2 linked regions of the Callithrix jacchus genome follow. Each later gene encodes a partner of the first gene's protein in a complex. Links are inferred from orthologs where the notes say so. Each region holds a gene or a part of one and is shown in the gene's direction. Other genes may lie near its edges.

Region 1 (4,011 bases):
GGATTCCCCCAAGATTCACTTTTAGGAGCCATTCTCATCCCAGCAGTAAGAAGCTTCCAGGTAGGATAGAAAGAAGACCCAGTTTCACGCCTCTGTTCCTTTGGATGGGGAACTGAGGGAAAATATCTGTTGTATCACTGAAATGTTTTGTTTTTATACATGTCTGAATAAAAATGCCAAAGTTTTTTTCAGCTTCCTGTCTGTCAAATGAAAACATTTCATATGTTAGATAGATCTCCTCAGCAGAGGACAGTCACCTTTCTGTCTTCTGACAATGCTACTCCGTCCCATGCAGCTTTCTCTAGTCCTATTATTACTTGTATTTCTTTAGAACAAGCATAGCTTATAGTCCTTTGGGGTTTTAGTAGGAATCTACAAAGCAAAAACAATTGAGAATAACAAAAACAAATAACCCACGTGCTTGGGGACTTATAAAAAGCACTATATACGTGTCCGGTCTCCTTCAGAGGCCAAATACTGAAACCTCTACGTGTTTCTGAATTCATTCTTAGAAAAGTCACCAAATCTTTTTATTTTGTTTTTTCACAGTAAGCGCTCTCAACAAACATCTGTCTTTCTGAACACTTCCCTTAAGTGCTCCATCCAGCCTGTTATTGGAACAATGTCATGTTACTTCTTTAAGGAGTCCAGCCTCTAGATTGGGAGGCCTTTAAATGGATGATCCCTCCGGATTCTGGCTGCCCAGTTAGCCCCTGCTCCCAGCACCCTAGGTCTTCTTCCATCTGTCTGCCTCTCCCTATTCTCCCAGCTTCGCAGGACTACTGGACCGGCTGGGCGGGTTTCGCCAGCCGATCGAGGGATCCAAGGAAGGGCGCACCCCGCTTCCCCGCCCTAGGTGTAGACACTGCCCACCCGCCCCGGCTCCACCCTTGCCTCTAAACCTATTTCCCCGCCGTAGCTCCGCCCCTCTCCCCTCGGCCCGCCCCTCTCTGTTACGGGCTCTCGCTCAGAGTTCTCGGTGGAAGTGGTTTTTCCGGGAGAGACCACGCTTCCCCGCAAGCTCCCCAACGGCTCCGCCTTCCCGCCGGAGCCTGACCCTTCCCAGCGTGCCCGGCAATTCCGGCGTGCGAGGCCCTTGGAGGGCAAGGCCCCTGGGCCTGGCTTAGGAGGGCGAGAGGCAGGCTGGGAATTGTAGTTCTCAAGCCCCCGAGGGCGGCTAGAGGCTGGCGGTGAAGAGGACTAGTTGTCCCAGCGTGCCCTGCGCCTCAGCCCGCGCGCTCGCAGCTTCTCGCTCTCGCCAGCTTGCCCGCTCCCTTGCTTGCTCGCGCTTTCGCTCGCCCTCTCCTCGAGGATCTAGGGGACTCTGACCACAGCCTGAGGCTGGGAACGGGGACAGAGGCGGCGGCTCAGGGGAAACCAGGCTGCAGTGGTGGTGGTAGGAAGATGTCGGGCGAGGACGAGCAGCAGGAGCAAACTATCGCCGAGGACCTGGTCGTGACCAAGTATAAGATGGGGGGCGACATCGCCAACCGTGAGTGCGGCCTCAGGGGTCGGGGAATCAAAGCTGACAGGGAAAGGTGCCAGGCTGGCCCCAAAGGGGCTGGAGAGGAGGGGTCATGCGGAGTGAGCTACCGAGGGGTCCGCACCGGTTCTCTGGGGGCGGCGTGGTGGAAAGACCGGGTGTAGCGCCTGGGACCTGAGTGGCCAGGCCCAGGCTGAAGTCTGTGGACGTGTGGGCCGGCGACTGGGATGAGCGCAGAGAGGGACCCCTGGCAGGCTCCGACCCGAGGCCGTTTGTTAGGAGGCAAGACAGGTTTTCTCCTGTTCCAATCCTTCAGTCCCGATTTCTGCTTCATCTGATTCTGGCAGCGGCGAGGCCACCTCGAAAAGGAAGCGCCCAGCTATTGGCGACAGAAGCCCCCCTCTTGTTTTGTCGATTCTCTGGGGCTTCAGGAGCCGAGCCTCTCGCACGTGTTGCTGGGTCCCCTTGCGGATGGCTGGCCCCCTTCTTCCTCCACTACTGTCCCTGACACCAGCTTCCTTGCCACGTGCTTTGCTGGAGCCTTTCCTTTACTTCAGCTCTTACCCTGGTGGGGGCCCCCTTCTACCCTTGGACCAGCTAAGGGATCCGTTGGAGGGCACTCCGGGAGCTTCTAACCAAAGTCTTGGAGATATATATGGCTTTTCTTGAAGTTACTCATTACTACCACCTTTCCAATCTGTGCAGATAGCCTTAGTTAGCATTCACATTTGTTGTTCTCAGTGACTTGACAACTCAAATGTTTTGGAGTCCCCGTCTTATCCCAACTAGGCAAGCTTGCAAACAGTACTGGAAAAGAGAGGACTGATTTTAGGATTGTCACAAGTCATCTTTATTCAAGCTGTGCTCTGACGATCTCAGCAGTAGCCTGTCACTGTAGGCAGATGTCACTTTCTCTTTTCTCTCTTTCCAATTCGCCTTTCCATTTTACTTAAAACTCAGGGAGATAGAAACTGCTTGTCCGTGGGCTTTTAAATGTTTTTTGGGGTGTGTGTGTGTGTGTGGTTTTTTGGTTTTTGTTGTTGTTGTTTTTTGAGACAGAGTTTCACTCTTGTTGCCCAGGCTGGAGTGCAATGGCGCAGTCTTGGCTCACTGCAACCTCCGCCTCCTGGGTTCAAGCGATTCTCCTGCCTTAGCCTCACAACAGCTGGGATTACTGGAGCATGTCCTTATGCCTAGCTTGTTTTTTGTATTTTTAGTGGAGACCGGGTTTCACCATGTTGGCCAGGCCGGTCTTGAACTCCTGACCTCAGGTATCCGCACACGTTGGCCTCCCAAAGTGCCTGGACTGCAGGTGTGAGCCACTGTGCCCAGCTTTTAAATGGTTTTAACAGCAAAGATGGTGGGGAAGCGGTATTTAGGATGCCTCCGGTCCTGTGGGTGAAAATCTGAGTTTTTACCAGCTTTCAAAGAATCACCAAAACTGAGATTTCAAAAATCAAACCTGTGCACAGTGGACATTTAGTATAGTACCCTGGTTTTTGGTGCCTGTTAGTATTTGAGATAGTAGTTTGAATCAGAAAGTCTCTTTTTTGCAGTTTATAACTTCAGGCCATTGTGATCTCAGATATAAATTTTGTAAATTTGGCCTCACATCTCTTTGAGATAAGCCATGATCCCCTGAAATGAAACCCAGGGACCTTAGGTTAAGCCCCTTTGGCTTATACTCTTGTTTATGAGGAAATAAGTCTACATAGGTTGAGATTCCTAACACCTAATTAGAATGTCTGAGAAAGGAAGGCGGTAACATTTAATAATGCATCAGCTTCGAGTCTGCAATTCTGTCTACCTTCTTGTTGTCCCTGATGCCTATAAATTTCATCTTGTCTTTGCGTGTATGTGGGCATACCTTGGCAAGAACCCTCTAAAGTTCATAACTCTGTCCTGTCACACCAAAGGTAGCATCTTTGGAAAGTCCAAGGCCTTGCCTAGGAAGATGGATTGTATATACCCACTTGTAACGTAATAAGGAAGGGAAGGGAATGTTGTCCTTTCAGCCTCGGGGCAGTAGCACTAGAGAGTATTACAGACTCCTAAGTCCAGCTTCCAGGTATTCCTTGGGTGGTAACTAGACAATAAATACATACAAGGCTGACATGATGGCATTCTGTCCTCAGGGGTACTTCGGTCCTTGGTGGAAGCATCTAGCTCAGGTGTGTCGGTACTGAGCCTGTGTGAGAAAGGTGATGCCATGATTATGGAAGAAACAGGGAAAATCTTCAAAAAAGAAAAGGAAATGAAGAAAGGTAAAAAAAAAAAAAAAAACCTCACTAATTTCCCATTTGACCCTTATTTAGTTCTATATGTTTTATTTTTTTCATTGTAATGATGCAGTCTCCACTCCAGCTCTGGTTGAGATATTTGAAAATTTGGAATGGCAAATGGGATACAAGCAGTTTTCTTCCTAATCCAAACTGATCAAAGCTTAAGCAAGTCCCTGAAAATATCCTTACACTTTTCTGAAGGGCAACAGGGCTCCCAGGAGAAAGCAAGGCAGTAGGCTGATGATT
Region 2 (7,236 bases), on another chromosome or scaffold:
CCTGTATAAATTTAAATTGATGGAGAAAAGAACAGAAAGAAAATGTGTCCAGCAAATAACTTTGAATAAAAGAATCAAAAGGCTGCAAGTTTTTTAGAACTCTCCTCTTTTCTGCCATTCACTTAATGGAACAATGCTAGAAACATTAAATTTGTTGAAATAGTATCTCTTTTGGTCCTCATCAAAAAAAAAAAAAAAAAAAAAATTCAGGCTCTGGCCAGGCACAGTGGCTCACACCTGTAGTTCCCTCCCTTTTGGGAGGCTAAGACAGGAGGATCACATGACTTCAGGAGTTCGAGAGCAGCCTAGGTAACATGGCAAGACGCCATCACCATAAAAAATACAAAAATCAGTCTGAAGCGGTGGTACAGGTACGTACTCTACTAAAGTTACAGGTACGTACCACCGCTTCAGACTGATTTTTGTATTTTCTGTAGTGATTTTGCATTTTTTGTAGCTGTAGTCCCAGCTACTTAGAAGATTGAGGTGGGAAGATGGCTTGGGTCCAGGAGGTTGAGGCTGAAGTGAGCTGTGATTGTACCACTGCATTCCAGCCTGAATGACAGAGCAAGTCCCTGTCTAAAAAAAAAAAAAAAATTGGCTGGGTTCAGGGGCTCATGCCTGTAATCCCACCACTTTGGGAGGCTGAGGCTGGTGGATCACTTGAGGCCAGGAGTTCGAGACCAGCCTGGCCAACATGGCAAAACCCTGTTTCTTCTAAAAATACAAAAATTAGCTGGACATGGTGGCACATGTCTGTAATTCTAACTACTTGGAAGGCTGAGGCACAAGAATGGCTTGAGCCAGGGAAGCAGAGGTTGCAGGGAGCTGAGATCACATCATTGCACTCCACCCTGGGTGACTCAAAAAAAAAATACATACATACATATATATATATATATATATATATATATATATATACACACACACACACACACACACACATATAGTTCTTTTCCCTTTTGGGATCTATGGACTCCTTTAAGAATTTGATTAAAATTTCAAATCCTCTTCCTAGAAAAAAGTACACACATGCATATATTTTTGTAGATGTACACATGCATAAAACTTTGGAAAATATTACAGAAAGTTCGACTACCGAACGTCATCTGTGCATATATTGAGGGTCCACAGACACAAGACCAAGCATTCCTGCTTATTTCAATTTGATTTTTTTTCTTTTTCTTTTTTTTGAGACGGAGTTTCACTCTGTCGCCCATGCTGGAGTACAGTGGCTCGATCCCGGCTCACGGCAACCTCTGCTCTCCGGGTTCAAGCGATTCTCCTGCCTCAGCCTCCTGAGTAGCTGGGACTACAGGCGCACGCCACCATGCCCAGCTAATTTTTATATTTTTAGTAGAGACAGGCTTTCACCATATTGGCCAGGTTGGCCTCAAAACTCCTGACCTTGTGATCTGTCGGCCTGCCTCAGCCTCCCAAACTGCTGGGATTACAAGCGCCCGCCACCACACCTGGCTTTTTATTTTTATTTATTTATTTATTTATTTTTTGAGACGGAGTTTCTCTATTGTTACCCAGGCTGGAGTGCAATGGCGCGATCTCGGCTCACTGCAACCTCTGCCTCCTGGGTTCAGGCAATTCTCCTGCCTCAGCCTCCCGAGTAGGTAGGATTACAGGCACGTGCCACCATGCCCAGCTCATTTTTTGTATTTTTTAGTAGAGACGGGGTTTCACCATGTTGACTAGGATGGTCTCGATCTCTTGACCTCGTGATCCACCCGCCTCGGCCTCCCAAAGTGCTGGGATTACAGGCGTGAGCCACCGCGATTGGTTTTCACCATGTTGGCCAAGCTGGTCTTGAACTACTGACCTCAATGTGACCCGCCCATCAAAGTGCTGGCGTGAGCTACCACGCCCAGCCTGATTTTAATTTGAATTCATTACCTTAAAAATCCCTGGATTTAACATAAAAAATCTAGATTTTAGACGTCGGAAAAAAATGTAAAATATTATCTCCCAAGACTGCAGGCAAGTAGATCACAGTCCTGAGTAGCAACCGCGGTCTCTAGTGGTTACGGTTCTCACATCCATTTCGCTCCATTTTATTACCTGAGAGGACTGGTAGTTTCAAAACCTGGTATATCAGTAACTTTTAGGGAAAACTGCACACACGCACCCCTTCTTCCTTCTCTTTATTTGAAAGGAAACAACGGAAACAAATTTGCAAATCTTTTGCGCCAGTCCCACGGATAGGCGACTAACAAGAGATACAGAGGTGTGGGTCCCAGAGGCGGTACGGTGTTTTCACCCCTTCCGGATAGCTAGTACGACCTACCCACCGCGACTAAGCACAAGGAGTGCTGAACTAAGCTATGCAAAGTTCTGACCAGAAGGTGGAACGGTACTTAGTGAAGAGGATTTATTTAGGAATCGAAATCGGTTTTGCTAAATTAGACAAATCTCATTGTCTAAGGAGCCACGCCCTGTTCGCAGGAGGAGAGGGAAGACAAACCAACGCCCCAGCTCTCCAATGGCACCTCAGCTCTGAACTAGACGCACTCTACAAGGATGCCTGGGTTTCCGGAGCAACCGCCCGGTCCCTCCCCCTTTGGCCCCGCCCCCGAGACTCCTTCCCGCCAAAGGCCGTTATCGCCGCAGAGCATGGTGGGACAAGGCTCTAGGCTAGGTTTCACCAAGTCCTTTCAAGGCGCCGAGTTGCTTTCAGAGATCCTCATTCCTGGGGAAACTGACTGTCCTTCAAGACCCGACCTGGAAGACTAGCTCCTTTAGAGAGAGTTCTTTATTTAACTTTTACCAAACGGCCACTCTATTCGCAAACCACCCCAAGCCGGGAACGCGGGGGACTTTTTTTCCCCCTTCGTGCGGAGGGTGACGTCGCGCGTGCGTGCGCGCGCGTACGTTGAACGTAGTCTTCGCAGCGCGTGCGTGTTGGGATCGAATCGCTGTTTCCTTCCGCTTCTCTTCCTCTGTCTCCCCCCCCCCCCATATCCGTGCGCCGAACTGATAAAGGCGCCATTTTGGAGGGGCCGCGGGAGACGTGGTGCCGCTGCGGGCTTGCTCTGCCGTGCGCTAGGCTTGGTGGGAAGGCCCGTTCTCGAGTCCACGTTTTTCGTCGCCGCCATGTCGGGAGGTGGTGTGATTCGTGGCCCCGCAGGGAACAACGATTGCCGCATTTACGTGGGTAACTTACCTCCAGACATCCGAACCAAGGACATTGAGGACGTGTTCTACAAATACGGCGCTATCCGCGACATCGATCTCAAGAATCGCCGCGGGGGACCGCCCTTCGCCTTCGTTGAGTTCGAGGACCCGCGGTGAGGCGGCATGGGGCTTGCAGCCTTGAGGAAATAGGTCCGAGTGGTCGGGGAAGACTCCAAGGCCTTAATATAGAGAACGGGAAGGCGGGGGCTCTTAGAGAGGATGGGGCGAGACTGTATCGCCCATGCAGGAGTCGAGTGAGGAGCTGAGTTGGTGTGGCTTCTCTGGCGCCTCGCCTTGGACGTCCCCGGAGCCCATTCGCAGGCTGGAGCGGGAAACTGAGGCGCTGAGGGCTGGTGTAGTGGCTGGGAGCCTGGCGTGTTTCTGGGTGGGGGAGGGGTCATTCCCATTATGCGGCGCATGTGGGCTCTTCCACGTTGGGTGCGCATGTGCGGGGGGTTCGCTGGTTCCCGACTGAGCGATCTTCTCCTCCTGGTCTTTCTCATGCCTTTTACTGTCTACGATCCCGCAGGGACGCGGAAGACGCGGTGTATGGTCGCGACGGCTATGATTACGATGGATATCGTCTGCGGGTGGAGTTTCCTCGAAGCGGCCGTGGAACAGGCCGAGGAGGCGGCGGGGGTGGAGGTGGCGGAGCTCCCCGAGGTCGCTATGGCCCCCCATCCAGGCGGTCTGAAAACAGAGTGGTTGTCTCTGGTAAGTCTACCGGTTGTGTGGTTGATGTGAAGGGACGGAAACTACTTAAAAATTTTCTCTTGCGTGACCGGTTTAACAATTGCAAATTTTTCATGCTAGGTCTTAAATTGCTTTAGTTTTTGGGTGAATTTAATAAACGAGGATTGCTGCTGTGGTGATTTACCAAATTAGGTTGCGGTACTAGATACGAAGATCCGTTACAAATAATTTTGGACTCTGGATTCCAGAATCTTACCAGCTCTTTACCTGGTATCACTTAAGTACAACTATTAAGTATTTTAAAGTACTCTTTGTCCTAATGTACCTTATCAGCTTAACGTGAAATTTAAGATAATTGATACTAAGAAAAAAAATCGCTTTTTCAGGACTGCCTCCAAGTGGAAGTTGGCAGGATTTAAAGGATCACATGCGTGAAGCAGGTGATGTATGTTATGCTGATGTTTACCGAGATGGCACTGGTGTCGTGGAGTTTGTACGGAAAGAAGATATGACCTATGCAGTTCGAAAACTGGATAACACTAAGTTTAGATCCCATGAGGTAGGTTATATGCTTATTCTTTTTTTTGACCAGAATTGGATACAGTGGTCTTAACAGTGGAATTTGAAGGTAAGGATTCAGGCAAGGGTGTCCAAGTAAATTGCCAGATTTCTGGTTTTAGTTACATTGTATTCATTCAGCATGCCTGAAGCTAGGTGAAAGCTTAGATCTTTCAATGGAAAGTTCTGTCTATCCAATAGGGAGAAACTGCCTACATCCGGGTTAAAGTTGATGGGCCCAGAAGTCCAAGTTATGGAAGATCTCGATCTCGAAGCCGTAGTCGTAGCAGAAGCCGTAGCAGAAGCAACAGCAGGAGTCGCAGTTACTCCCCAAGGAGAAGCAGAGGATCACCACGCTATTCTCCCCGTCATAGCAGATCTCGCTCTCGTACATAAGATGATTGGTGACACTTTTTGTAGAACCCATGTTGTATACAGTTTTCCTTTATTCAGTACAATCTTTTCATTTTTTAATTCAAACTGTTTTGTTCAGAATGGGCTAAAGTGTTGAATTGCATTCTTGTAATATCCCTTTGCTCCTAACATCTACATTCCCCTCGTGTCTTCGATAAATTGTATTTTAAGTGATGTCATAGACAGGATTGTTTAAATTTAGTTAACTCCATACTCTTCAGACTGTGATATTGTGTAAATGTCTATTTTGCCCTGATTTGTGTGAACTGGGATGTTGGGGATGTTTATGGTTATCTTACCTGGGGAAGTTCTTATGTTTATCTTGCTTTTCATGTGTCTTTCTGTAGACATATCTGAAGAGATGGATTAAGAATGCTTTGGATTAAGGATTGTGGAGCACATTTCAATCATTTTAGGATTGTCAAAAGGAGGATTGAGGAGGATCAGATCAATAATGGAGGCAATGGTATGACTCCAAGTGCTATTGTCACAGATGAAATTGGCAGTATTGACCTTATACTAAAAGGCAGGGGGGTAAAAATGATTATATACATTTTCCTTAAAACACTTGAATGTTTTATTCAGTTACCTTTAGCTACAATTGCTTTACCTTTTAAACCTTGGCAATTGTGGCAAAATTATGTTGCCCATTTTGTAGCAACTTATTTTGCTCCCTTCCCCCCATTTTTGTTATAATAGGGACTAATGTGGGAAGAACTGGCTAATTTGTCGCAGTGCTTAGTTACAACTGTTAATGTGTGACCTGCTGTTGGTGTACATGTGGGTAGAGGGTGTCTTTAAATCCAACAAGATAGAGTATAATATCAATACTGCTAAATCTGCATGTCCTCTGTGTGACTGATAGAGCGTTGCTATTTCATTTTTTTAAGACAAAATGAAAGCAAAATAATAGAGTTCCAATGTATTGGTGTAGATAATCTAGTTGGGAATACTTAGGTCTCACCTTCCCCTTTAATATTCATAATTGATTCATATGTTTAAAACACTTTAATTTACAAATTAAATTGCAAATGGGAGCATTAGATTTAGTTTTAGATTAGGTGGGTAGCAATGCCAGTAAACTTAAATTACATAACTTCTTGCAACCACGAAACCTGTAATACACTGTACAGTAACAAGTGTTGGCATTATCAGTTGAACTGTAAATATAAGATGCTTCTTCCAGTTAGTCTCTATGATGATTAAGTTTCTAAAATTTATCTGAACACCATTCAGAAACTTGTTTTGGGGAATTTGATAGTTATTGATGTGCATCTGTTAAACTGATGACTGACATAACTCATCATTCCCCAGAAACCTTTTTTGATTACAGTATCTAACGTTTTGCCTCCTCTTTTTTGGTTTTGCTGGTTATAAAGGTTTGGATTGGAGAGGGCTCACTGGATCCCAATCCTTGGAGCTGGATCATTGGATTCAAATCATAATGTGGATAGGATAGGGAGGATGAATTACCAGGATTCATGGAGCGGGATCAGATTACCAGGAACATAGGAGTGGATTCCTGCCCCAACCAAACCGCATTCGTGTGGATTTTTTTATTCAACTTAATTGGCTATTCCAAAGATTTTTTTTTTTCCTATTTTTGACGATTGGAGCCCTTAAGATGCACGATGGAATTGTGTTTTGCATTTTTTGGTAAAAGGAGCAAAGCGAGGACCTGGAGATAAACGCTGGAGCAATCTCCTTGGAAGGATTCAGCACGAGTAGATGGTAAACATTTAAAGGGGAAAAGGGGGGGGTTTGTTTAAAATAGTAAATCAGTAAGTCACTTCTAAATTTAAAGAAAACAAAATTGGAGTTGAAGAATAAGTAGGTTTCCAATTGGCTATTGCCATTTTTCTTTGAAAAAATAAACATTTTTTAAAAAACTATGCATGGTTGTCCTTTTTCCTCTTCATGTAAGATTCTAACTGGGTCTGTCAGTTAATCTTTAAATTGTTAAGTAAGATTTTGACTCTTGTGTTTATATGTTAGCAAATTAAAAGTTCTTAAAAGGCAATCTAATGGTATTAGCTATCTTTTATTGTTAATTGTAAAAGTCTTCAGGGGAAGGCAAAAGGGGAATAAGGCGTTTGTATATGTAATGTAAATGATGGTGGGGGGTGGGTCTAGCATCTGAAAGATAAGCTTCTCAACTTTGTAAAGTGATTTAAAAACTACAGATGCTGCTTATTTTCTGGTAGTCATATAGGCAACAGGCTTTTGTGCAAAATTGGTTGATGGCTAGTAAATTAATTTTCACTTGGAAATAGTTTTGATATTCTCAAACTCACCTCAAAAAAAGGTAAGTATTAAATGTTAACATCAGCACAGATGTATTATTAGAACTGGTTTTTGTTTTTGAGACAGAGTCTAGCTCTATTGCCC

The links. The genes of interacting proteins can lie anywhere in the genome.
Region 2: PA2G4 (region 1) and SRSF1 share a complex: the UniProt entries of both Homo sapiens proteins name them as parts of the ribonucleoprotein complex. The link is inferred for Callithrix jacchus from reciprocal best matches to the Homo sapiens genes PA2G4 and SRSF1.

The regions. Positions count from the first base shown.
Region 1 is NC_133510.1:63,563,934-63,567,944, reverse strand, and holds the start of PA2G4 (proliferation-associated protein 2G4), read left to right. Parts: upstream 1-1,211; 5' UTR 1,212-1,404; coding exon 1,405-1,492; intron 1,493-3,618; coding exon 3,619-3,747; intron 3,748-4,011. UniProt on the Homo sapiens protein: May play a role in a ERBB3-regulated signal transduction pathway. Seems be involved in growth regulation. Acts a corepressor of the androgen receptor (AR) and is regulated by the ERBB3 ligand neuregulin-1/heregulin (HRG).
Region 2 is NC_133506.1:108,327,782-108,335,017, forward strand, and holds the start of SRSF1 (serine/arginine-rich splicing factor 1), read left to right. Parts: upstream 1-2,979; 5' UTR 2,980-3,102; coding exon 3,103-3,296; exon of another isoform or gene 3,297-3,712; coding exon 3,713-3,897; exon of another isoform or gene 3,898-4,262; coding exon 4,263-4,435; exon of another isoform or gene 4,436-4,635; coding exon 4,636-4,822; exon of another isoform or gene 4,823-5,195; coding exon 5,196-5,218; coding exon of another isoform or gene 5,219-5,234; 3' UTR 5,235-7,236. UniProt on the Homo sapiens protein: Plays a role in preventing exon skipping, ensuring the accuracy of splicing and regulating alternative splicing.